Elephas maximus indicus: one gene and its partners. The protein of the gene in region 1 purifies or fractionates together with the protein of each later gene. This does not show direct contact. Links are inferred from orthologs where the notes say so. Each region holds a gene or a part of one and is shown in the gene's direction. Other genes may lie near its edges.

Region 1 (7,787 bases):
GAGAAGGAGGAAAGGGGCACCTACGTATTACCAAACCCCAAAACCCACTGCCACGGAGTCAATTCTGACTCATAGCGACCCTATAGGGTTTCCAAGGTTGTAAATCTCCACGGAAGCAGACTGCTTTCTCCCGCGGAGCCTGCTGGTAGTTTCAAACGCCAACCTTTTCGTCAGCTGTCGATCACTTTAACCACTGCGCCACCAGCTCCTTAAAAAAAAAAACGTATTAATGGAGTTTTAAGAGACTTGTGAGGAGCGTTGGTAAAAAAAAAAAAAAAAAAAACTTATTGTGAGGAAGGTTGGTGGTGCAACCTGTTAAGCTCTTGGCTGCTAAACAGAAAGGTTGGTAGTTCATAACCACCCAGCTGCACCAGGAGAAAGGTCTGGCGATATGCTCAGACAAAGTTAAAAAAAAAAAAAAAATTACAGCCTAAAAAACCCTATGGGGCAGTTCTATTTTGACTCAAGGGGTCACTGACTCTGAATCTACTCGATGGTACACAACAAGACACATACTAGCCAAATACAATGTTTGACCTTATTGACACCTTGATTGGAACGTACCAACTCCTTTTTTTTTAATGAGAAATTGGACTGAATATTGAATTATATTCAGGAATTATTTTTTTTTTAGGGATCGTGGATGCCTTTTTTTTTTTTTAAGGTATTCTTCTCTTTTCGAGAGGTATAGTGAAATGTTCATAAATGAAATTTCATGCTGTCTAGGATTTGCTTCAAAATAATCCCGGAAGGAGGGAAGAAGCTGTGTAGGAGACCTGGTGAATTTTTGAAGGCAAATCCTTGCTCCCCGAGCCCATACCAAACCCACTGCTGCCAGTGAATTATGGTTCGTGGTGACCCCATGTGTTAAAAAATAGAACTGCACCATGGGGTTTTCTTGGCTGTTTGCATTACCAAAGCAGGTTGCCAGGTGCTGCTGGGTGAGTTCCAACTGCCCACCCAGGGACTGTGTTTGCTCCCACGATCCCCTCTCTAAAAAAGCTAATCTCAAAGCGTCCATGTTTTTGTGTCGCTTTGGAAGTGAAGGTCTTAATTTCCTTTTGGGGTTTGGAAAAAACAACCCTGGGCTTTTGCTATACAAAGGTAAAACGGAGATTGTTTGGTAGAGGGGGGAAGGAGTTAAACAATTGGGCTTGAGATGACTGGAAAGGTAAGCCTCATCGAGGAGTTTAGATTGAATCCTAATAGAACAAGGAGCCATTGAAGGGTTTAAGCAGAGATGGTACACAATCAGATTAATGTTTTCAGAAATCACTGCAGCTTCAGTGACTTGGGTTGAGGATTTATACAGTGATATCTGTGAGAGCCAGAACTCTCCCAGACTGCCTTTTTTCGAGGGGTCTCAAGTTTTCTGCCGTTCACGGTGCAGTCTTACCACTTTTCTATCGCTTTTATCAAAAAGTATCTCAGTTTTCCTTTTCTGACAGGTTTCTGCCTTACACGAGTTCTGGCTTTCACAAGTTTTACTGCACTGAAGTCTGTCCACCATCATGGGTGAACCTACCTATATGCAGCAGCCTCAGGGAAAAGACCTCCTCCCAAATATCTCCTGCCGGCTACAGGGAAGGTCTATCAAGTCACACGATAGTATGTGTTTGAGAGCAATATGACTAAAGGTTGGAAATCCTGTTTAGGCTCTGATTTCAATGCAATATTGTTTAGGCAATAAGCCACATGGGTTTATAAACATCCATTATGAAGACAAAACTCTTGTAGTGGTGCTTTATAACTGAAAGACTGGAGTATAATTAAACTTTGCTTTTTTACATTATTTAATAACTTTAGTTTTTTGTTGACATCATGAAAATGACAGACTCCAATGGAGTAATATATGTATTACTTTAATTGTTGCAGGCTAATGAGAAGGGGCAAACTTGTACCAGATGAAGGCTGCGTGACATCATAGCAGACAGTCCAAAAGCAAATTCCACAGTGCCTCTAATGTTACAAGCCCAATGAAAAGTGGAAGTTGGAAAAGAAAACTGACTAACGGCCCATCATTTTCTAAATGGTGTGAATGAGTCATCTGAGTACTGATTTCCTTTGACAATCAGCTAGAAAGCTCTGCACTCAAACTATAAGATTTTTTCAACATCTCTGATAATAGAACTCAAAGTCCAGATATTACTTCCTGTTCCCAATTGCAGCAATAATTTGTTCAGATTCTCCCTTAATGCAGATTTAAATAACACTAACTTAACTGCAAGCGAACAAGACAGTTTTATGAAGGTATCAAATGACATTAGAGAAATGCTTCCTGGTAAAGTTTTTGTGAAGTATTAGGTCCAATAATCCTGAACTAATAAACAAGGTGTTGAAATTATTAAAACCATTTTGTGTTTTTGGTACGGCACGCTTATGTAAACAGGCATTTTCTGCGTGCATTAATATTACTGAAAGTTAAATCACAGAAGTGGATTAAACAGAGAACCTGAACTGAGGCTATATTTTTCTACTTTTCTTCAACATTGGTGATTTTATTTCAGCAAAGCAGTATCATTCATCACAGTAAATTAATGTCGTTATTGTGAGTTGCTTTGAGTTTATAGTTGTTTGATTTAAAATTTTTGTTCTGATTTTAAGATTTTTACAAGCATAAGGGAAACCCTGGTGGCATAGTAGTTAAGAGCTACAGCTGCCAACCAAAAGGTCGGCAGTTTGAATTCACCAGGGGCTCTTTGGAAACCCTATGGGGCAGTTCTACTCTGGCCTATAGGGTCGCTATGAGTCAGAATTGACTTGACAGCAACAGGTTAGGTTTTTTTTTTTTTTTTTCTGGGGGGGAGGGGGGTATAAGCACAAGGAGTTGACAAATACTTTATGCACTTAAGTAATGTATTGATTTAAAAAAACTTGTCAACATTGAGGAGGGGGCTTATTTTCCCTTTTAAAACAGTATGAAGAAAATAAAAAGGTGAAATGAACATTACTTAATTTTAAGAAATGCTATCTACAAAATTCCCCTTCTTGCTTAGGTTAAATTGGGTTTGTTACCTGAAGCCAATACAATTGTAATTGATATACCGCCTCTGGAGTTGCGAAGGAGCCCTGGTGGTGCAGTGATTAAACCCTCAGTTGCTCACCAAAAGTTTGGCAGTTCAAACCCACCAGCTTAGGAAACCTTATGGGGCAGTTCTACTCTGTCCTATAGGGTCGCTATGAGTTGGAATTGACTCGCTGGCATCTAACAATAACAACAAAGAATTGTGATAAATAGATGCAAACAATAAAGTACAATATGAATTAAGATATTTACTACACAAAGCAGATTCTGAAGAACTGCTTCTTAATTAGTGGGAATGGATGATACAATGATAATAATACGTAAAGTTTTTAATAGTACCAATTTTAGCCCGATAGCTATATGGGTAACAATTCCTTAACATTAATTCTCAATCTACATTCAGATTTTGCAAAGGAATGATGATAATAATTGGTAATGAATTTAAGATGGCTGAAGAGTCCCTAGGGGGTGCAAACAGTTAACTTGCTTGGCTGCTAATCCAGAGGTCGGCGTCCACCGAGAGGTGCCTTGGAAGAAAGGTCTGGCAATATACCTCTGAAAAATCAGCCATTGAAAACCCTAAGGAGCACATTTCCACTCTGACACACATGGGGTCACCCTGAGTCAAAACCAGCTCCATGACAACTGGTTATGATGAAAGAAGAAACAAAGGGTTGGGGGGTGGTGTTAGGGACAGTGGTAAGGTGGTACGGTCAGTAGATGACAGGTCCTGGTGAGTCGGAACTTTGTTGGAGACCGGGAGGAGGCTAAGAAGGGCAGGAGGTGGTCCCACTTTTCCTTTTGCACACTGCGCAGTTCCAGCAGTCTTCTTTTTCAGTTGATTATGAGAGACAAACTCCTTCCAGCCTGAGGCTTTGGAAAATTCTGTGCAGATGTCTTCCCTGCAGTCTCATCCATCTCGGCTCTGGCACCACTTTCTCAATCCAAAAACTAAATTAGGTCCTCCAATTATACCGTCACTAAGTCTTCTTCATAGCACTTACATAATCATAATTTAAAAACCAAAGGAAAATCTATTTGCTTGATGTCCACTAAGAACTATGTATCCTTTGTTCACTGCTGTCGTTGCCAACACCCAGTGCAGCGTCTAGCACATTAGTTAAACCAAAACCTTTGCTGTGGGGTCATTCCGACTCACTACAACCCTATAAAAAAAAAAAAAATTAATTGCCCCAAAGGGTTTCCAAGGAACAGCTGGCAGATTCCAACTTCCTACCTTTTGGTTAGCAGCCATACATAACTCTTAACCACTGAGCCACCAGGGCTCCCGCACCAACAGCAGGACACACTCGATATTTGTAGAACAAAAAAGGGAGTGTTCAATAGTGTCAAATGCCACAGGTTCTAAATGCAACCACTCTTTTTGCTCTCAAGCGAGGGTTCGTATTTACTCGTTTGAAAAAAAAAAAAGTAATTTGGGAATGAATTACTTTAGTTAATACTAAATATTAATATTAATTACTTTAAAGTTGGACTTCATCCCATCTGAATTTGGAGCATATCGCTGTATAAATCCGCTGTCAGCCCAGATATGCTCGTTCATGAAAGTAGTACTTTACTTAGCCCTCCCTTCTAAAACGGAAGGGATGGGTCTACAGTCAGACTGCTGGTTCGCGTTGGCAACCGTGTCAGAGGCGGATCTTAACCGTCGAGAACGGAAGTTCCTGAGCGTTCAAACCGGCGGGGAAGCAACTCGGCAACGGACCAAGATGGCGGCGCCCACCGAGGGGCTAACTTTTGTCGCGGGGGTGGAAAAGAATTGGGGTGCGGTTGTTCGCTCCCCCGAAGGGACCCCCCAGAAAATCCGGCAGCTGATAGATGAGGGGATTGCCCCAGAAGAGGGAGGAGCGGATGCGTGAGTTCGCGAGTCAACTCTGGGACTGGGGCCGGCAGGTTGGAGAGAGATTGGGGAACATAGGCCTCGGGGGTCGCCCTGGTCCGCGCCTCTGGCGTTGGGACGGCGTTTTCCCGGATCGGAAAGGGACTGGGGTTGCTACACTTAGCTTTTTTTTCTCCCCACCGGACCCCGCACGAGGGGTGGAATTTTGCCATAGACAGTTATTTGGAGGACAGAAAGAAAGAAAGAGAACCGCTAACTGAATGTGCGCGCCTAACTTCTCTTATTTAGGGGTTCTTTACCCTTTTTTTGTGCCACGGACCCCTTTGGCACTCTGGTGAGGCTTATGAACCCCTTCTCGGAATGTTTTTTAAAGGCATAAAGTAAGATACACAGAATTTTAAAGGAAGTCAATGACGTTGGAATGCAGTTATGAAGACAGTAAAAGAAGAGCTACAGTAACATGCTTCTTTATTAAAAAATTAAGTAATACCTACCAGTCGGTCTGTTAACCCAGCCCGTCTGTTATTTCCCATAATTTCGTAGTGATGCACATAAACGCTGTTTTAAAACATGCGCAGCAACCATAATGTGATGAGAAAAATCTGATTTCTATTGATGACAAATTAATAGGTCCTGCTAATACTTCTGACGTTTACTTTCATTCGTAATTGAAAGGAATGCTAAATTTCAGTTAAACTAGTTGCGGTTGAGCGGATTCCGACTCATAGTGGCCCTATAAGACAGAGTAGAACTGCCCCATGAGGTTTCCAAGGAGCGGCTGGTGGATTTGAACTGCTGACCTTTTGGTTAGCAACCAAGCTCTTAACCATTGCACCACCACAATCCCATTTAAATTTATGCATCCTTTGATTTTTTTCCAAGAACCACACGCTTTCCTGAGGCTCTCTCTGAGTCTGAGAAAGGTTCTTAGAGTAAAAAATACATATATATGTTTTTTTTGCATATAATAGGTGTTGGTCTAATGTGCTTTTCTTAAAATGACTCTTGTCTTTCAGCATCCTCCCCCCCCCCCAGCCCATTGCCATTGAAATGTCTTTCACTAGAAATGAGAAAATTGTTTTGCTGATCTTTTTCTCTGAAATTCTTTCATGAAATCTCCTAAAGATGTTTACTCTGATTTGAGGTTTTTTTGGCGGGAGGGTAGGGGTGTGTATCAGGGGCTGATTCAGGTAGAAATAAGAAAATTGTTTTTTTCTGCTGTTAAAAGAGTTGATATCTAAGGCAGTACAAATTGTATAATGCATGACTGTCACCTGGAGTCTCATTTTGCGTTTACTAAAGTTATGCAAAACACTGTTGGGAAGAGTGAGGTAGGAGAACAGTTTGTTAGTACAGGATTAGTGGAGCACTCCAGAGGTAGGAACTGCTGGAAAGTTAGGTATGGCCAACCTGTAAACAGTTTTGAATGCCATACTGAAATATTTGAATTTTATTTAGCAAATAGTATAAAACCATAGAAAATATTAATCTGAGGAGTAGCATAACTAAAAAGATTTTCAGGAATGTTAAGATCCACTGTTGATGTGGTTGATAGTATAATGTCGAGAGAAGCCAGATAAAAAATTCTTGGGCAGAGTGGTACCATAAAAGGATTACTACTAACAGTTCTGTCTGTCACTTTACTTTAGGAAGGACACATCTGTCACCTTGCAGTCAGTTAATGGATCACCCCAGGCAGAACAACCTCCGTTGGAATCTACAAGCAAAGAAGCCTTCTTTAGCAGAGTGGAAACATTTTCTATATCTTTTTTTTAAATTACAATTTATTTTTGTTGTTGTTGTTGTGGAGTTCCATATCCTTTTTGACTTCACGTTAAGTTGAGCTTCCTGCCTGCTCCTGGAATTGTTATTCCTCCAGGGTATTACACCACTTACTCTGATGTTTTAAAATTAAGAATCAAAACTTGGTAAAAAAAATTTTACCAAAAATCAGTATCATAAAATGTTATCCCTCAAAGTGACATCTGAGATTATCTAACCTTTATTTTTATAGAAGGAGAACCTAAAAGCCTGAGAGGAGAAGAAATAACAACTTTCATATATAGTGCGTTTTCACATATATTGTGACATTTGATCTTCACCTTAAACCTATGAAAATAGGTATTAGCATTATCCTCATTTTACAGGGGAGATGACAGTTAGGTCATGCGACTTGCCCAAGATCAACCTACTAACAAATAGCAGAGCCAGGATTATATCCTAGGACTCTTGGTACCCAAACCTGATAGTTGTTTTTTTTTTTTTTTTAACTGTGTACATTTCTTGTCTTTCTGGATTTTCCTTTGTGTATTAGTTATCTATTCTGTGTAAAAAAAAAATTACTCTAAAACTTAGTGGCTTAAAACAACACACATTATCTCACAATTTCTGTGGATCAGGAATCCAGGCTTGGCTTAGCTGAACCATAGGGCTCAGGGTCTGTCATAGGCTGCAGTCAAAGTGTCAGCCAGTGCTGCAGTCATCTGAAGATTTTCCTCGGGAAGGATCCACTCCCAAGCTCGCTCGCTTGGTTGCTGCCAGAACTCATTTCCTCATGGCTGAGGGTTTCACTTCCACGCTGATCGTTGGCTGAAGGCCTCCTTCAGTGCCTTGCTACTTGGGCTTCTCCATGGGGAGAGTTTACAACACTGTGATTGGCTTCATCAGAGCAAGCCATAGAGTAAGACAGAAGCCAGAACCTAATCTGTAATCTAATCTCAGAAGTGACATCCCATCACTTTTACCATATTCTGTTCATTAGAAGCAAGTCACGTCCAGTCCACACTCAGAGAGGAGAGGATTACACAAGGCTGGGAATAGCAGCAGGCAGGGATTGCTGGGAGCCCTTTTAGAAGCTGTCTGGTGCACTTTGCTTTTGCAGAAGCTGTGTTTTATTTGTTT
Region 2 (7,440 bases), about 19 Mb from region 1:
TATCCATAATCTGCTATGATCAAACTATAGTCACAAATGAAGTGTCTGTAGCCTACTATGCAAATGAATTATCTGTGGCCTACTGAGAGAGGATTGGTCAACTTGTGGTGCCTGCTGGAGGGGCAATGCCTTGAAATTGACAAGGAGTTGCAGACAGAAGTCGCCAACCCCACAGAGGTTTTTTGAGACAAGACAGAAAAAGTAGAAAACGGGAAGCAGGAAGATGCAAAAAGGAGAAAAGCAGCAGAGAGAGAAGAAGCAAAGAACCTTCTAAAGGATCCATATGGGTCAAGGGCTGGAACACTGAAGACAGTGACAGGCCCGGAAGAGGCTCTGTGGCAGAGCCAAAGGCAGGAAGGCCTGTCCTCAGGGACCAATAGGAGGCCTGTTCTGAGGGAGTTGAGAAGAAGCCTGTCCTGAGGAGCCAAGAGGAACCTTGTCCTGAGATGGCCAAGAAGAGGCTTGTCCTGAGGGGACCGAGAGGAGGCCTGCACAGCCCAGAGGGAGTGTGCACAGCAGAGAGGTCCTGCTTGCTTGCACAACCCAGAGGAGCTGAAAGAGCTGTCCTGCACTAAAGGCTCTGCCTACATGCTTCCTAATCCTGATCCCAAGTTGTACCCTACTTCCTTAATAAACCACTTAACTGTAGGTATGGTCTGTGAGTTCTTTGTGGCCATGACAACAGATTTTCGAACCCAGATGAGAAGTAGAGAGTGCAGTGGGAGGGACAGCTGGTATCAGAACTAGTAAAGAGGTTGGAGTGTGTAGATGTCTGACCTCCACCTCATAGGGATCAGTCATGGGCTGATCTTGATTCTCATTATACACCCCCTGAAGTTAGACAGGTACTGATGCTACTACTCCCACCATTTTACACTCTGGATTCAAGAAACAATCTGTGATGGAGAGGGAAATATGGAAGGAAAATAAATTGCAATGCCAAATTATAAACTCTTCAGTGAAAGAACACCTTATCTAGAGATGAGGGTGGAGTAGGTTTGGAGGGTCATAGAAAGCTTCCTGGACAAAGGATTTTAGGACAGTTTTCTGGAACTCTGAATGCTCGCCAGTTCTAGGTTGAATCATTTGAAAATGGCTATTTCATAGGCCCCAACTTAACTGAATGTAACGATGGCATTTAAGTCCCTCAGGAAAGACCTCAAATGTCTACTTAATTCATAACTATCTTACAGTAGTATTTTCTGACTTCTGGATCCCAAAACAAGAGGCATAGCAGTGGCAATATGAATACCTGAAACGAGAAAAGTTAGAATTTTAAATCCTCCCATCTCCTTTCCTGCATTCCATTCCATTCCTAAAGGTTCCTCTCCCAGGTCCACTGGCCCCAAGGCTTTCAGCTTGCTCTGAGACCCTCAGTGTTCTCTCAGACTTGCCCAAAACTTCCCATTCTTTAGGTGGGACTGATCCATGTTAGAAAGAAGACAACCCAACTCAACTAGTTAATGCTAAATGTGACTGAATGACTCAAGCTCTGTTACCCTCCTGGAGCTATTTTGATTTTTAGGAGAGGTTACTGAAGAATCTTTGGTGAAAATCCAAGCAATAAAAGCAAGGCCTTTTGTGAAGGCCTTTCTGTATGCAAGCCATTTATAAGTCAAGAGTTGAGAAAGTGGGGGGCTACCTATCCTATGGTTCCACAGTCGGATATATTTTGTGACTGTGGTAGGAAAACATCTGCTTCATATTTTACATATGTTGTTGTTAGCTGCTGTTGAGTTGGCTCCAACTCCTGGTGACCCATGTACAACAGAACGAAACACTGCCTGGTCCTGTGTCATCTTTGTGATTGTTGGTATGCTCATGACCATTGTTTTGGCCACCGTGTATTTTGAGTGCCTGACAGCCTGGGGGCTCCACTGGGTTTTCACTGGCTAATTTTCAGAAATACATCACCAGGCCTTTTTTCCTAGTCTGTCTAAGAAAAGGAAGTGAGGAAATAAAAAACACCACGTATCTACAGTGGAAAGTGTGGTCCCCAGGGAAAAGCCTTCCATTTTACCTCCAATCTTACCAAGTGCCCAACAAGAAAACTGTTAAAATACACCTATGTTTTCCTTACTAGATCATTAGTAATGTAGGCTATCCCCCAAGCATTTTGGAGGATCATCTATTTTGGCAATAAGAATGTATAAAAGATGTTGAGAAAAGACCACAGTTCAGTAGGAAGAGCCAAATACCCTGATGGGATGTGTCTTACAAGAGACAGGTGGTTACTCAGGAAGTAGTGAATGGAGGTAGTGCCTCTGCTCTAGGCCGAGGGCTGCTGCCCAGCATGGAACTAGAATCTCTGCAGTGTTTTAGTTTGGGAAGTCACATTCTTCACATCTCTTAGTCAGATGACAATTTGAAATCCTTCCTTGCTTGTTCACAGAGTTAGGTTGTGAGTGACGGCCCTAGGTATGCGGCTATCCATGCCTTCTCAGCCTCTGCCACATATCGGGTAGCTACTTGGGCTGCCAAAGTTTATATTTAACTTGAGTATTTCAGGTAGGGAGTATGACACTTAATTTCAAACTAATGGGATTAACTACTTCAGCCTGCATGTTAAGAAAATACTTAGTCACATCTCATACTATACATACATGCAATCAAATTTTTAAATTCTGTCTGTTTTTAATTTGGTTTTACAAAGATTAATAATAAAGTGAATCTTGGTGAAAATTTGCCAAAAATGATTTGGTTACAGGACTTGAAAAGGGAAGCTTGGTTTGGTTCTATTTTAGAAATGATCAAAAAAAAGAGGTGCAGATAATCCCAGGCTTTTAGGTCCTGATTCCTAAGGCCTGCAGGTGTAGGACACTGAGAATCCCACACTTCGGTGTGATGTCTGGGCCTCATTTTCAGGCCATCTCCCACAGCTGACTGTCTTACCTGCCCATCAGGATACTACATTAGGTTTGCCTCCGGTGCATTTATCTTCCATCCCAAGAAGCCTATTGATGGGATGTCTGTGTACGTGATGTCCTTGTATGATATGTCTGGTGGTGTACATCTGTGTCTGTGTGGTGTGATATGGTGTGGCATGATGTGCATGTCTGTAGTGTATGTGTGTGTGTTATATTTGTGTGATTGTGTGTGCAGTGTGTTTGTGGTATGAGGTGTGTGTGATGTGTCGTGTATGTGTCTATGTGGTGTGGGATGTATATTCTGAGTAGTGTGTGAACATGAGAGATGTATGCAGTGTGTGTGTGTGGTGTTTGATGTATGTGTCTGTGTAGCATATGTGTGGTGTGACATGCATATGTCTGTGTGAACATGTGAGCTATGTGTGGTGCATTTCTTTATGGTGTGAGGGTGGGTGTGCAGTGTACCTGTGTGGTGTGTGTACATGTATGTGAAGTGTATCCATGTGGTGTACACACATACGTATGTGTGGTGAGGTGTGTGATGTATCATGTGGTGTGTGAACATGGGAGGTATGTGCAGTATATGTGGTGATGTGTGTGTGGTGTATGTGTGATGTGGCATGTATGCCTGTGTGAACGTGAGGCGTGTCTGTGTGCTGTATCTGTGTGTGGTGTGTATCCACGCAGTGTATGTACATGTGTATGAGTACTGAGATGTGTGACGTACCTGTGTGGTGTGTGAATGTGTGAGGTGTGTCTGTGTGGTATATGTGTGATGTGGCAGGTATGTTTGTGAACATGTGAGGTGGGTGTGTGTGGTGTGAGGGTCTGTGTGTGGTGTGCATCTGTGTGGTGTGTGTATATGTGTGACCTATATGTAGTGTGGGGTATGTGTGTACATACGTGATATGTGGTATAAAGTGCGGTGTATACTTGTGCGGTGTGTGTCGTGTGTCTGTGGTGCCCGCGCACACTTCCCGCCCCCTCTTTGCCCCCACTTGCCCCACCTGCGGAGACCGCGGCCCTCAGGGCTCAGTGTTGTCGGCGTCCAGGACCGGCCGTGGGCTCTGAGGTAGCGAGACGGCGGCAGGCCCGGCGAGGACCAGGTGCGGCGGGAGGAGGCAGGAGGAGGAGCCGGGCTGAGGAAGAGGAAGAAGAAGAAAAGGTGAAGGAGGTGAACGGAGGAGAAGGCGGAGCCGAGCGGAGGAGGAGACAGAGCTGGGCCGAGGAGGCTGAGGAGGAGGCGGAGCCGAGCCAGGGGGGAGGCGGAGCCGGGCTGAGAAGGAGACAGCCGGGCCGAGGAGCTGAGGAGGAGACACAGCCGGGCCGAGGAGGAGGCGGAGCCGGGTCAGGGAGAGGCGGAGCCAAGCGGAGGAAGAGGCGGAGTCGGACGGAGGAAGCCGAGCGGAGGAGGCGGGGCCGGGCTGAGGAGGAGGCGGAGCCGAGCTGAGGTGGAGGAGGAGGAGGAGGAGCCGAGCGGAGGAAGAGGCGGGCGGCGCGGCGCACGGCGGGCGGGGCGGCCCGGGAGCAGGACGCGGCCAGGCCTCGGCGGGACGGGCTTCGGGCCTTGTCTGGCCTTCTCGGGGCCGGGCGGGCGGGGAGCGCGGACGTCGCGGGGCCGGCCGGCGCAGGGGACGCGGACGCGGTGAGTGCGGCGGCGGGCCGCGGTGTCGCAGCGGCCGGGCCGAGGCGGCGCCGGCGGAATGGCGGCGGCGGCGGGGACGCGGCGCGGCGGCAGGGGCCTGAGTCAGCGCAGCGGCTGCGCGCGGCCGGCGGCGGCCGTTATGGGGTCACAATCGGCGGCCCGTTCTCTCGCGGCCCGGACGGGCGGCTGCGGCCGAGCGCGAACCCGCGCTGGGACGAGGCGGGGCGCGGTGACCCGGTGACCCGCCGTGAGGACCGGCCTGGCCCCTCGGCGCGGTGGGCGCTCGACTCGCCGGCCGCCGCGCCGCGCCTTCCGCGGGAGCTGGGAGCGCGGCGGCGAGCGGCCTGGCCGTCTTGGAGCCGCGTTGCGGAGTGACGGACGGGAACCGAAGCGGTTTCCACTTAGGCCGCGGCCCGGGCCTCCGTCCCGACCCCGCGGAAGCTGCGCGGGCTGCGGTCGCTCTGCGTCGGGGCCTCGCTGCGTCCCCGAAAGCCCGCAGGGCGTGTGGCTGTGTGGCCGGTGCGTGTGGTGCCGGCGAAGTACACCGTGTGTCGGCGGGGAGGCGCCGGGACCTGAGGCTCGCTTTGTCCGGGAGGTTTTTGAATATTAGGAAAAATTTAGTTTGAAGTTCTGTTTATTGCTCTGCATGGACAGTCCACATAGTTGCATCGCATTTCAAATTCCGAAGCTGGTGAACGCAAGGTGGCCTGGCGTTAACTCCACTATGCCCATGTTTGGAGGTTTTGGAGCGTGTTCCCGAAGCTTCAGAGGGGTGGCTGGATTACTTTCTGAATATGTTAAACTTTTTTCCGTCGCTGGTCTCATCTTTTAAAAGCTGTTTTGCCTGAAAACCCCTAAACCAACCAAGCTTAGTATACTGGAAGTTTTCACCCATTTCTCCGGCCCACTCTCAGAGCCCCTAGCCCTAGCCCTTGTAGGCAGCCCCATTGCTAACTTGTACCCCATCAGAAAACTGAGGGACACTCGCGTGTGTGAGCCGGTTATGCACAGCGTCGCAGAGTATTAAAGCAGGTTAGGTTCCTGATGCTTAATGAGCACCTGGTGATAATTAGCCTCGGTGATGAACACAGCTTTATTTCCCGTATGTTTCAAACTGGATTCCTTGAGGGCAAGGAATATTCCTTATTTATTTTTGCATCCCAGATTAGCACAGAACTTGGTCAAGGTGGTACCTCAGTGTTTGGATGAATGTTCTGAGTAGTTCTACCTGTTATACCTATTGTTTGACCACTTGCCCTGATTTTGGTTACAGAAAACACCCCAATTACACTGTTCACGAATGCAAGCTTTGTTACTGTTATTGCACTGTTATTGAATTTGCTGTCTTTTTCCTCCATCCTTTCTTTTTCATTACCTCGTCCTTTCCCCCTCCGTACCCCAGTATCTAGCCCAATGCCCCAAAAGATATGCCCAGGTTTTCTTTACCTGTGGAAATCAAGCAGGTGCCAAGAAAACAGTTTGTGAAACTTTACTTAGCTTTTTTCCCCTTCAAAACTAGATTTAAGGTGTCGAATTTGTTTATCTTTTTGTGAGTTTTTTTTTTTTTGAATCATTTTTTCCCCCAGGCTAAATATTGCACTTTGTGTTTGAAAATGAAAAAAGTAGCCTGATAGTTGAGGCTCTTCCATGTTGGAAAGATGAGGCAAACCCGCTTGTGCTACTACAGAGTCCGGGATGCGGCCTCTGATTGGAAAGACCCTTCTCAGGTCCTTGGGGATCTTTTTCAGAAGTTCACTCCCAGTATGCCCAGTCATAGACAGTCTGAACACACTAGTCTTTAAAATGTCTAGAATTACTTGACATTCTTCAGTTTAAAAAAATGAGGGCCCCAAAAACTTGTGAACGTGTTTGTATTTTTATTCTTTGCTGTTTTAATTCTCCGTAGGTCCCATCTACCCTTGACAATTGAGTGGGTCAGCCTGGAATAAAATGCCTTTTGGGGATTGTTAGCTTCATTTTAAGCTTGTCTTTTAGATATTTCTAGAGAAAAGAATAATAGTTCTAAGGATCAATTCTAAGTTCATCTTGATTTTTAAGCTTATCTGGTAGTTTTAGTAAAGTGTGTTTTTTTGTTTGATTTTCAAGATCGAAAAATGAGCATCAAATGAGGAATAAATCAAATTTGGGATTTTAAGCTCCCTGAGGAGGTTAAGCTCCTAGTTTGTAATATGTGAATTTTATTTAGTAACAAAATTATGACACTTTTAGTGATTTTCCTGTGTTTTATTCACTCATAGATTTTTCTAGCTCTATATATAGCTGTGTGTTGTTACTAGCTTACGTATATGTGTGGTGTTTATTTATTCATTTATTTTTGCTTAGACGTAGAACATTTTGCTTGAGAGCAAAGACATGGGGTCTAGTCTGAGCTAAACTTTGCTGAGCCTGTATTTCCTCATTTGTAAAATGAGTTGGTTTTTAATCGCACTGTTTAAGATTTCTTTAGGCCCTCAGAGTGTTTGGCTTCTGTGGGAGTGACATAACTTTGAACTTCAACAGCATTTTGAAAAACTGCCTTATAAAATATAATCCACCTTAATCATGACTGAAAAGCAGAATTGTGAAGCCCAAGTTTGATAGCAATTTAAATTTTTTCCTTTGTGGGAAAACTTGGATCTAGGAAGCTTACCTCTCCTTTCCCTGCTTCCACCCTACTGCTGTCCAGGTTCCCAGGATCCCCTGCCACCCTCCCTGCCGCTGTGGCTCATGCTTTCTCCTGCCTAGAATATCATCTCTCTTCCGTTCCCTTAAGTCCCTGAGTGGTGCAAGCGGTTTGCGATCATCTTCTAACATAAAGGTCGGTGGTTTAAACCCACCCAGTGGCTCCGAGGGCGAAAGACCTGACTGTTTGCTGTAGTAGTAAAGATTACAGCCTAGCAAACCCTATGGGGGCAGTTCTGCTTTGTC
Region 3 (8,017 bases), on another chromosome or scaffold:
TCTTGGCGTCCTGATCTGGTTGACGAGAGCCCAGGTGTTCCTAGCCATGTCCTGACAAGCCCTCAGCCATTCTCCAGGGCAGATTGGCATCAAACAAACCTGGGTGGTTGCTATGGGTGGTGAGATCCAGCTGGCCAATCTTTTAGGGATGGAGACTCTATTCTGTGGCACTGCAAAGACCCTGAAATGGCAGTGGCAGTGCTGGGACCATGTGTCCAGAAGCCTGTTTATTTCAGAACTGGTATCAGCAAAGTGTCCTGCCAGTTTGGATCACTTCCCATAAATCCATGGTTACTGAAGCGCTTCTGGAGCCTTCAGTGACAGGGTTGTGCCTTTGTAGATCTTATAATTGCGGTTCTTTGGGGGTAGGAAGGTGGGGCCCAGTCCACATGCTACACAGAGAGAGAAGGTACCATTCACTCATTTATTCATTTAACAAGTAATTATTGAGCCACTGTTGGATACCAGGCACTGGCCTGGGTTCTAGAGATACAGTGGAAAATAAAAGCCAGCTTTTGCCCATAGGGATCTTGCAGTTGAGTGGGGAGAAAGCCAAGCAAACAGAACATAGAGTTCTCTGATGGAGGCCTGAGGCGCCCGTCTTGAAAGTCACCATAGTGGTGAGGAGTGTGGGCTCTGATCTCAGGCAGATCAAGTCCCAGCCCTGCAATTTACTAGTCTTGTGACTTTGGGCAAGTTAGCTCACCTCATGAAACCTCAGATTTCTTATCCATAAAATGGGGAAGGGACTGTTAGGGTGATTTAAATGTATTCACACGTGTAAAGTATGAGTATAGTGTCTGGTTCAGGGTTACCACTCAATAAATGGTAGTTAAATTACTATTAATATTGGGAAATGATATACCTAGAAGGAAACCCCTTATATTCTCCATTCTTATATATTTTTAATTTTTTTTCTTAATTTCAATTTTGGTGAAAATATACACAGCAGAACATACACCCATTCATCAGTTTCTACATATTCAATTTAGAAACATTGGTTATGTTCTTCACATTGTGTCACCATTCTTGGTGTCTCTACCCATGTTGTTTCACCAACATTGAGTTAGACTCACTACCCACTAAAGTTCTCATCTATGCTTTAGAGTTACTACTGGCAGTTTGATCTCATGTAGAAAGTTCTTTAAAAAAGCACAATGGTCATGGTGAACATCCCTTACTCACTTAGCTAAACAGTTGTTTAGTTTAAAGATGACTTCAGAGGATAATTTTGGTTCACGGTTTGAAAATTTTCTCAGAGTGATAGATTCAGGGTTTCCTCCAGTCTCAGTAAGCCCAGTAAGTCTGGATTCTATAAGAATATACAATTCTGTTCGACATTCCCCCCCGTGATGGTTAATATTGTGTGTCAGCTTGGCTAGGCCATGATTCTCAGTGTTTATATGTGATCGCTCCCATGATGGAATCTACTCTGAGTGGCCAATCAGTTGAAAGGGAGTTTCTGTGGGGATGTGGCCTTCATCCGAATATAAGGAGATGTTCTGGCTTTTTGCTCATTCTGGATTCTCCAGCCGCATTCTGTTTGTCTGACCTTTTACTCTTGGGACTTGAGCTATCAGCTTATCTGCAGATCTTGGGATTCGTAGATCTTCACAGCCTGAGAGCGGGAGTCCCGCTCTTCAGCCTGCCTATCTTGGGTTCACCAGCCCCAGCGGCTACGTTAATTGAGAAAAGCCTCTATTCTGATCCACAGACTGGGGACATTCCAGCCTCTATAGTCTCGTGAGCCTTTTCCTTGATATGAATCTCTCTATATAAAAAAAAAAAAAAAAAAATTTTTTTTTTTTTATATATTTATACACTTTACTGGTTTTGCTTCTCTAGAAGACCCAGGCTAAGACACCCCACTTTTGATCAGGATTCATCTCTTGATTCCTTGATCAAAACGTTCAGTAACGGTAGCTGGCACCATCCAGTTCTTTTGGTCTCATGGCTGAGGAGGCAGTAGTTCATGGAGGCAGTTAGACCTGCAATCATGTTCCTGTCCCGATTCCTCAGTCTCCTTCTTCCTCTGCTGCTCCATTTTTTAAAAAATTTTAAAGTAAAATTAAGAACATCTTGCCCTTTATAATTGGTCCGGTACAAAGAAGAGTTGGTGGAAAAGAACTCATTCTTCCTTGTTTTGCATCTATAGGGTGCTAGGCACTTAGTACAAAACATTTAATCCTTCCAACTGTCAAAACAGTAGGGATTTTTGCAACCCATTTTACAGAGGAGGAACCTGACATTCAGAGAATTTAAGTAAATTTGCCCAACATCACACAGCTAATAAATGGCTGAGTTGAAATCAAAACCAAGTCTTATCTGGCCTCGAAGTCCATGCTCCATGCAGCTTCTCCAATACCCTGGGCCTCCAAAGCAGTTGGCTCTGAGGACTACACTTACTGCCTTGTTGGTTAACCCTTTGCTTTCCTTAGGTTTTTGCTGGTGGGTTGTTCCCCTCTGACCTGGATCCTGAAGTGAGAAGAGTTGGCACAGGGCATCTTGCTTCCTTGAGGAGAGCAAATGAGCTGGTTCTGGATCTCCCAGTTCACTGGGCATTAGGAACATAGGGCATGGAGAGGAACATCTTTCAAGAAAAGAGACACAGGAATGGAATCCATGTCCTTTCTGGCTCTCAGACCTTGGGCCTGTGGATTTTCTTGGTCCTACCAACTTGACTTTTTTCAGCTATAGTCTCCTCAACCTTTCGTGTCTCTTGAGTGTGGTTTTTGTTTTCCCATGGGAGCAGCAAGAGCCTGAGGAAGCAGTAGGGACAGGAGAGGGGGAGAATAAGGAAATATGAGAGGCCTAGGAACTGCCCTGGTGGTACCGTGGATACAGGGCTTATTTTAATTTGCACCTAAAGGCATAACTGAGATCCGTACTGCAGGTTGGTCTCACCCTGAGGCCTGGGGTCCCACTGATAATAATTTTGCTGTAAGGAAACCTTAGCCAAGGGCCAAGGGGGTAGACTGTGCAGAAAAGAGTTAACACAGCAAGACCTGAGAGTGCTAGCCTCAGAAAGCCCTGTTTGCAAAGCTGGCCCCTGACTGGCATCTAGGACCTTGAATTTTGGGAGGGCTGTCACCATTCCCTAAGTGATAAGGATGAGTCACTGTATCTAAACTGTTGGGGCAAACAACATGTTTTATGCTGAACACCTGCTTTCTTTCTGGGAGTCTGAAGTTTTGGTATGTACTAGGCAAAGAGTGTCCATGTGACCAACCCCCAGTAAAAACTCCAGACACTGAGGCTCTAATGAGCTTCCCTGGTAGACAACATTTCACACGTATCGTCATAACTTATTGCTGAAGAGCTAAATGCATACTGTGCAACTCCACCTGGTTCCCTCCGGGCTTTGTCCCATGCCCCTTTTCCCTTTGCTGAGTTCGCTTCATGTCCTTTTGCTGTAATAAATCATAGCCATGAATAAAAGTATATGCCAAGTCCTGTGAGTCTTCTAGCAAATCATTGACTGGGAGTGGCTTTGGGGACCCCCAACACAGGGCCCCAGGGGGGCTTCAGGGGTGTTGGTAATGTTCTCTTTCTCCGTCCGGTTGCCAGTTACATGGGGTGTGTTCAGTTTGTGGAACCTCATCGAGCTGTAAGTTGTGATACGTGCACTTCCTCTATGAATATATTAAACATAAATAAAAAGTTCAAAGAAAAAAGGTGGTTACGCAGGATTAAAAAAAAACTTTTTTTTTTTTAACTTTTTATTCTGCTCATTACCCCTTTCACCCCAAGCATTGTGTTGGGAGCAAGACATGGAGTAGAAAAGACAGCATCATTGTCATTGTCGCCTGGTTTAATTGGGAGGCAGGTAAAGATGTGCTTACAAGATGGTTGATTCTTGCAAACTTTATCAAGGACATCAGAGGGTGCTAAGGGGCTACAGAAAAGGGGCTTCTAACTTGGGTATATGGCCATTCCAGGGTTGCCACTCACATACCTACAGAAGCCAGACAGGCAAATGGGCAAAGGCGGAGAGGTGGGAACTGGCAAACTGGGAAGACATGCAGGCCTACTGTTGCTTAACTTCTGGGTTTTTTCGGGAAAAGCCACAAATGTGATTTTTTTTTTTAATTTGAGCTCTCGATTTTTAAATCCTGTAAATGAATTCAATTTTTAAAAAGTGGGGAGGCCAAACGAAATACCCCTGCTGGCCAAATCTGGCCATGGCCTGTCGGGTTGCTAGGCATTCATCCCATCAGCCATTCCTCCCTGTGACCAACAAATTGAGCGTACACTTTTTTTTAGGCATTGGGATAGCAGGGAGCAAGCCAAACAGCTTTCTTGCATAGTGGGTACTGGGCTTCTCAAACTAAAGTGTGTGTAGGAATCACCTGGGCAATCTTGTTGAAAGGTGGCTTCTGACTCAGGAGGTCTGGGGTGAGGCCTTTCTACCAATGCTCAGGTGATGGTGATGCTGGGTCCCTGGACCAGACTTTGAGTAGCGTGGCTCTGTAATGCAGAGGGGCTCAGGAGCAGCTATTTATTTGGAGGGGGCCTAGGGGACTTGCTGTGAAGGTACATTTGCCTGGCAAGCATTCTGTTTTTACGTAGTTTATTTGGGGTGGCTTGGTAGAGAGCTGATGACCACGGAGGCGGGTGCTAAGCTTGTCCCGAGCTACCCCTTGGCTCTGCCAGGTCTCTACTCTTATAGCGCTTACGTTGTGGTAGGCGGGGTGGGAATGGAGGACGGGGCAGGGGGAGGGGTGGTAAAGGAACGTGTTAGGAAAAGCCTGGACGACGTGCATGTGAATTGCAGGAGCTCCCCCAGCTGCCCCCGAACGGGAGACACCCTGAACTCCCCTCCGCAGGCATTCCCAAGCCGAGTTTCCAAGGCATCCCACGTGTGTGCTGTCCGCGCGTCCCTCCCAATCAAGTTTCCTTCCCTGCTGAGCGAAGGTTTAAAGGCGGCGGCTTTGCAGAGCGCTCCCATGGTGCCGCGCGGTGGGCGGGTTTGGATTTTAAATCCCCGCGGCCAATCAGTGGCGCGCAGGGTTTTGTAACGTTCCCGGCGCCGCGTTTGAATTCGAGGGGAGCGGAGCGGAGCGGAGCGGAGCGGTGCGGAGCGTCTACCCAGACCCTGGTAAGCCCGCTGAGCAACTTCGAGAGCATGAGTGCGGTGGTGACGGCAGGGAAGCTGGCACGGGCACCGGCAGAGACCGGGAAGACCGGGGCCCCGGGAATTGCGGTTCCCGGGGCTACGGCGTCCGCCCCGCCGGCGAAAGAGATCCCGGAGGTCCTAGTGGATCCTCGCAGCCGGCGGCGCTATCTGCGCGGTCGCTTCCTGGGCAAGGGAGGCTTTGCCAAGTGCTTCGAGATCTCGGACGCAGACACCAAGGAGGTGTTCGCCGGCAAGATCGTGCCTAAGTCGCTGTTGCTCAAGCCGCACCAGAAGGAGAAGATGTCCATGGAAATATCTATTCACCGCAGCCTCGCCCACCAGCACGTCGTCGGCTTCCACGGCTTTTTCGAGGACAACGACTTTGTGTTCGTGGTGCTGGAGCTCTGCCGCCGGAGGGTGAGGGTCTCTGACGGAGGATTGCAGTTGCTTGGGGGCCGGTGTTGGGGCGCTGGGGGCCCTGAGCTGCTGGGAAGGACTTCCTGGGGAAGGAGCGCCCGGGACCCGCAGCTGCTAGGGAAGGGTTGCTGGGAACCTCTAGGTGGGGCAGGGGAAGGTCTCGGGTAGGGGGTGCTTGGCACTTGAGGCTGCTTGCGTAGGGGGTTAAGTGGAGCCTGAGTTTTGTTGCTGCTGGGGAAGGCAGCTCCTGGACGCGAGGTGTTTGGAGAGGGGAGAACTCTGGTAGTGAATAAATACTAGGGCCCCCAGAGTTCCTATGGGAGGAGCCCTGGGTAAAGGGCGCTGGGGACCTGGAGCTGCCGGAGTGGGGCTGGGGAGGAACAGAAGGGCTGGAGCCAGACTTCGGAGCTTCCAGGGGAGAGAAAGGAAAGAGTACTGGGGACTCTGAGCTTCGGGAGTGGAGCTGGAAGAGGCGTCCCAGATAAGGATCTTGGGAGGAAGGCGCTACTGGGAGAGAGTGCTGTGAGCTGTAATAGCCAGGGTTAGGGCATGGGTCCAGCTTGGGGTTGTCCTGAAGAAGGAATGCAAGAGGGGATAGGAGAGGGAAAGAATCTGTCAAGATCCTTCCCGTATACCTTTGCCTGCCGCTGGGGGTCCAGGGTCCAGTCCTGGGCTGCCTTTCCCTGGCGACCCCACATCCTCAGTGCCACCTCTCCGTTCCTCCTCCTACTGGGGCCTAGTCCCTTCTGGAGCTGCACAAACGGAGGAAAGCGCTGACAGAGCCTGAGGCCCGCTACTACCTGCGGCAGATAGTCCTTGGCTGCCAGTACTTGCACCGAAACCGTGTCATTCACCGGGACCTCAAGCTGGGCAACCTCTTTCTGAATGAAGACCTGGAGGTGAAAATAGGTGAGGTGCTGGGCCTGTAGGGGTGCCCTGCACCACTAGAAGCGGGGAAGAAGGATGAGGAAGTGGAGGGAGGGAGGAAACAGGAAGAAGGCAAGGGAGGATGAGGTGATGGGAAGTCTGAGCTGTTGATTCCCTCTAGAGTCCCTCTTTAGCCCAGAAATTTAAAACAAAGGGCCCACAAGCCAGTATCTTGCCTGTAAATGCATTTTGTGCCCCTTCACAGTATTTTTTTTTTTTTTTTGTAAGAATTAGAATTAGTTTTTTTCACTTGGGAGGCTTGACATAAAAATTTGGATTTGGAGCTCCTTTTAAACGATTAGAAGCACCAGCAACACAGGGACAGCATTCCCTGAGGGCAGCCCTTTTCTGGGCTGAAAGCAGCTGTCCCCTTTAGAATCCCTCTGGTTTGCCACAGTCCCTACCCCTCCCTATTACTTCCTCAAACTTACCAAGCATCAGTCATGAGGTTACTTGCTTGATCCCTGTAGGTGTTTGAGTTTTGCTGTCCCTGTCTTGTTCCCTTTTAGAAGCATAGCCCTCCTTTTTATGGGGGACTGGGGGAACACTGGGTGGCATCATCCTGGGGTCAGCAGATGGGAGGATTCCTGGGCAAGCCTCCCTGGGTGCAAGGAGTAGAGACTTGTGGGAACAAATGACTGTGGGGCTTGATGGTTGAATCTGAACCAGCTGTCTGCATTGACAGCTGGCAGAGACTGGCATCTGAGCATCCCCTCTTCCTCCTTCTGTCCCAGGGGATTTTGGACTGGCCACCAAAGTTGAGTATGACGGGGAGCGGAAGAAGACCCTGTGTGGGACTCCTAATTACATTGCTCCTGAGGTGCTGAGCAAGAAAGGGCACAGTTTCGAGGTGGATGTGTGGTCTATTGGGTGCATCATGTAAGTTGGGAGCTGTCTCAGGACCCATCTGGCCTCAGTAGGGGCCCTTTTGGGCATCTTACCTGGCTGACCTTCTGGGGACACTTCCCCTTATGGAAAGGCTGTTCCAACGGACAGATGTTCCAAAAACAAACCCTAATTTCCCTATCTTGTTGCTCTGTAGTATTCTGTAAGATTCCTGCAGCCTGGGCCATGAGTCCAGGAAGGGGGAAGGGGCACCAGTTGGCATGTTTCCATAACCTTGCTCTAGATCCTCACTACTCCAAGTGGGGTCCACAGACCAACAACATCAGCATCACCTAGGAACTTGTTAGAAATGCAGACTGTCAGGCCCCAGACTTAATGAGTCAGAATCTGGAGTTTAACAGAATTCCCGGTTGATTTTTATGCACAATAAAGTTTTAGGAACACTGATCTGGAAAGCAGCACTGGGTGAGAGGAATCAGGCCAGGTGTTAGGGCTGGCAGGAGGGGGTTCCTGTGGTCTGTCTGGATCAAGACCATCAGGGAGGAGGCTGGGTGGTGGGCAGAGGTGTGGGCCTTCTCAGAGGTGTTAGCTTTATTGTTGTCATTGTTGGCCTGGGTACTAGAGAGTTAGAAATGAGTTGTAGCAATGGCTTTCATACTTTGCAATAGAGCTTTTTTTCCAAATGAAAATGTCAAGCCTTCTCTTAAGTGT

Evidence for each region.
Region 2: the proteins of ZC3HC1 (region 1) and CUL1 purify together in Homo sapiens (affinity purification with western blotting; 3 studies listed by BioGRID, with this or other methods). This does not show direct contact. The link is inferred for Elephas maximus indicus from reciprocal best matches to the Homo sapiens genes ZC3HC1 and CUL1.
Region 3: the proteins of ZC3HC1 (region 1) and PLK1 purify together in Homo sapiens (affinity purification with mass spectrometry; 3 studies listed by BioGRID and IntAct, counting the BioPlex papers as one, with this or other methods). This does not show direct contact. The link is inferred for Elephas maximus indicus from reciprocal best matches to the Homo sapiens genes ZC3HC1 and PLK1.

Annotation. Positions count from the first base shown.
Region 1 is NC_064826.1:20,160,418-20,168,204, forward strand, and holds the start of ZC3HC1 (zinc finger C3HC-type protein 1), read left to right. Parts: upstream 1-4,709; 5' UTR 4,710-4,755; coding exon 4,756-4,901; intron 4,902-6,535; coding exon 6,536-6,647; intron 6,648-7,787. UniProt on the Homo sapiens protein: Required for proper positioning of a substantial amount of TPR at the nuclear basket (NB) through interaction with TPR.
Region 2 is NC_064826.1:1,461,248-1,468,687, reverse strand, and holds the start of CUL1 (cullin-1), read left to right. Parts: upstream 1-4,373; 5' UTR 4,374-4,512; intron 4,513-7,384; exon of another isoform or gene 7,385-7,440. UniProt on the Homo sapiens protein: Core component of multiple cullin-RING-based SCF (SKP1-CUL1-F-box protein) E3 ubiquitin-protein ligase complexes, which mediate the ubiquitination of proteins involved in cell cycle progression, signal transduction and transcription.
Region 3 is NC_064830.1:83,877,943-83,885,959, forward strand, and holds the start of PLK1 (serine/threonine-protein kinase PLK1), read left to right. Parts: upstream 1-5,004; 5' UTR 5,005-5,125; coding exon 5,126-5,533; intron 5,534-6,273; coding exon 6,274-6,442; intron 6,443-7,194; coding exon 7,195-7,339; intron 7,340-8,017. UniProt on the Homo sapiens protein: Serine/threonine-protein kinase that performs several important functions throughout M phase of the cell cycle, including the regulation of centrosome maturation and spindle assembly, the removal of cohesins from chromosome arms, the inactivation of anaphase-promoting complex/cyclosome (APC/C) inhibitors, and the regulation of mitotic exit and cytokinesis.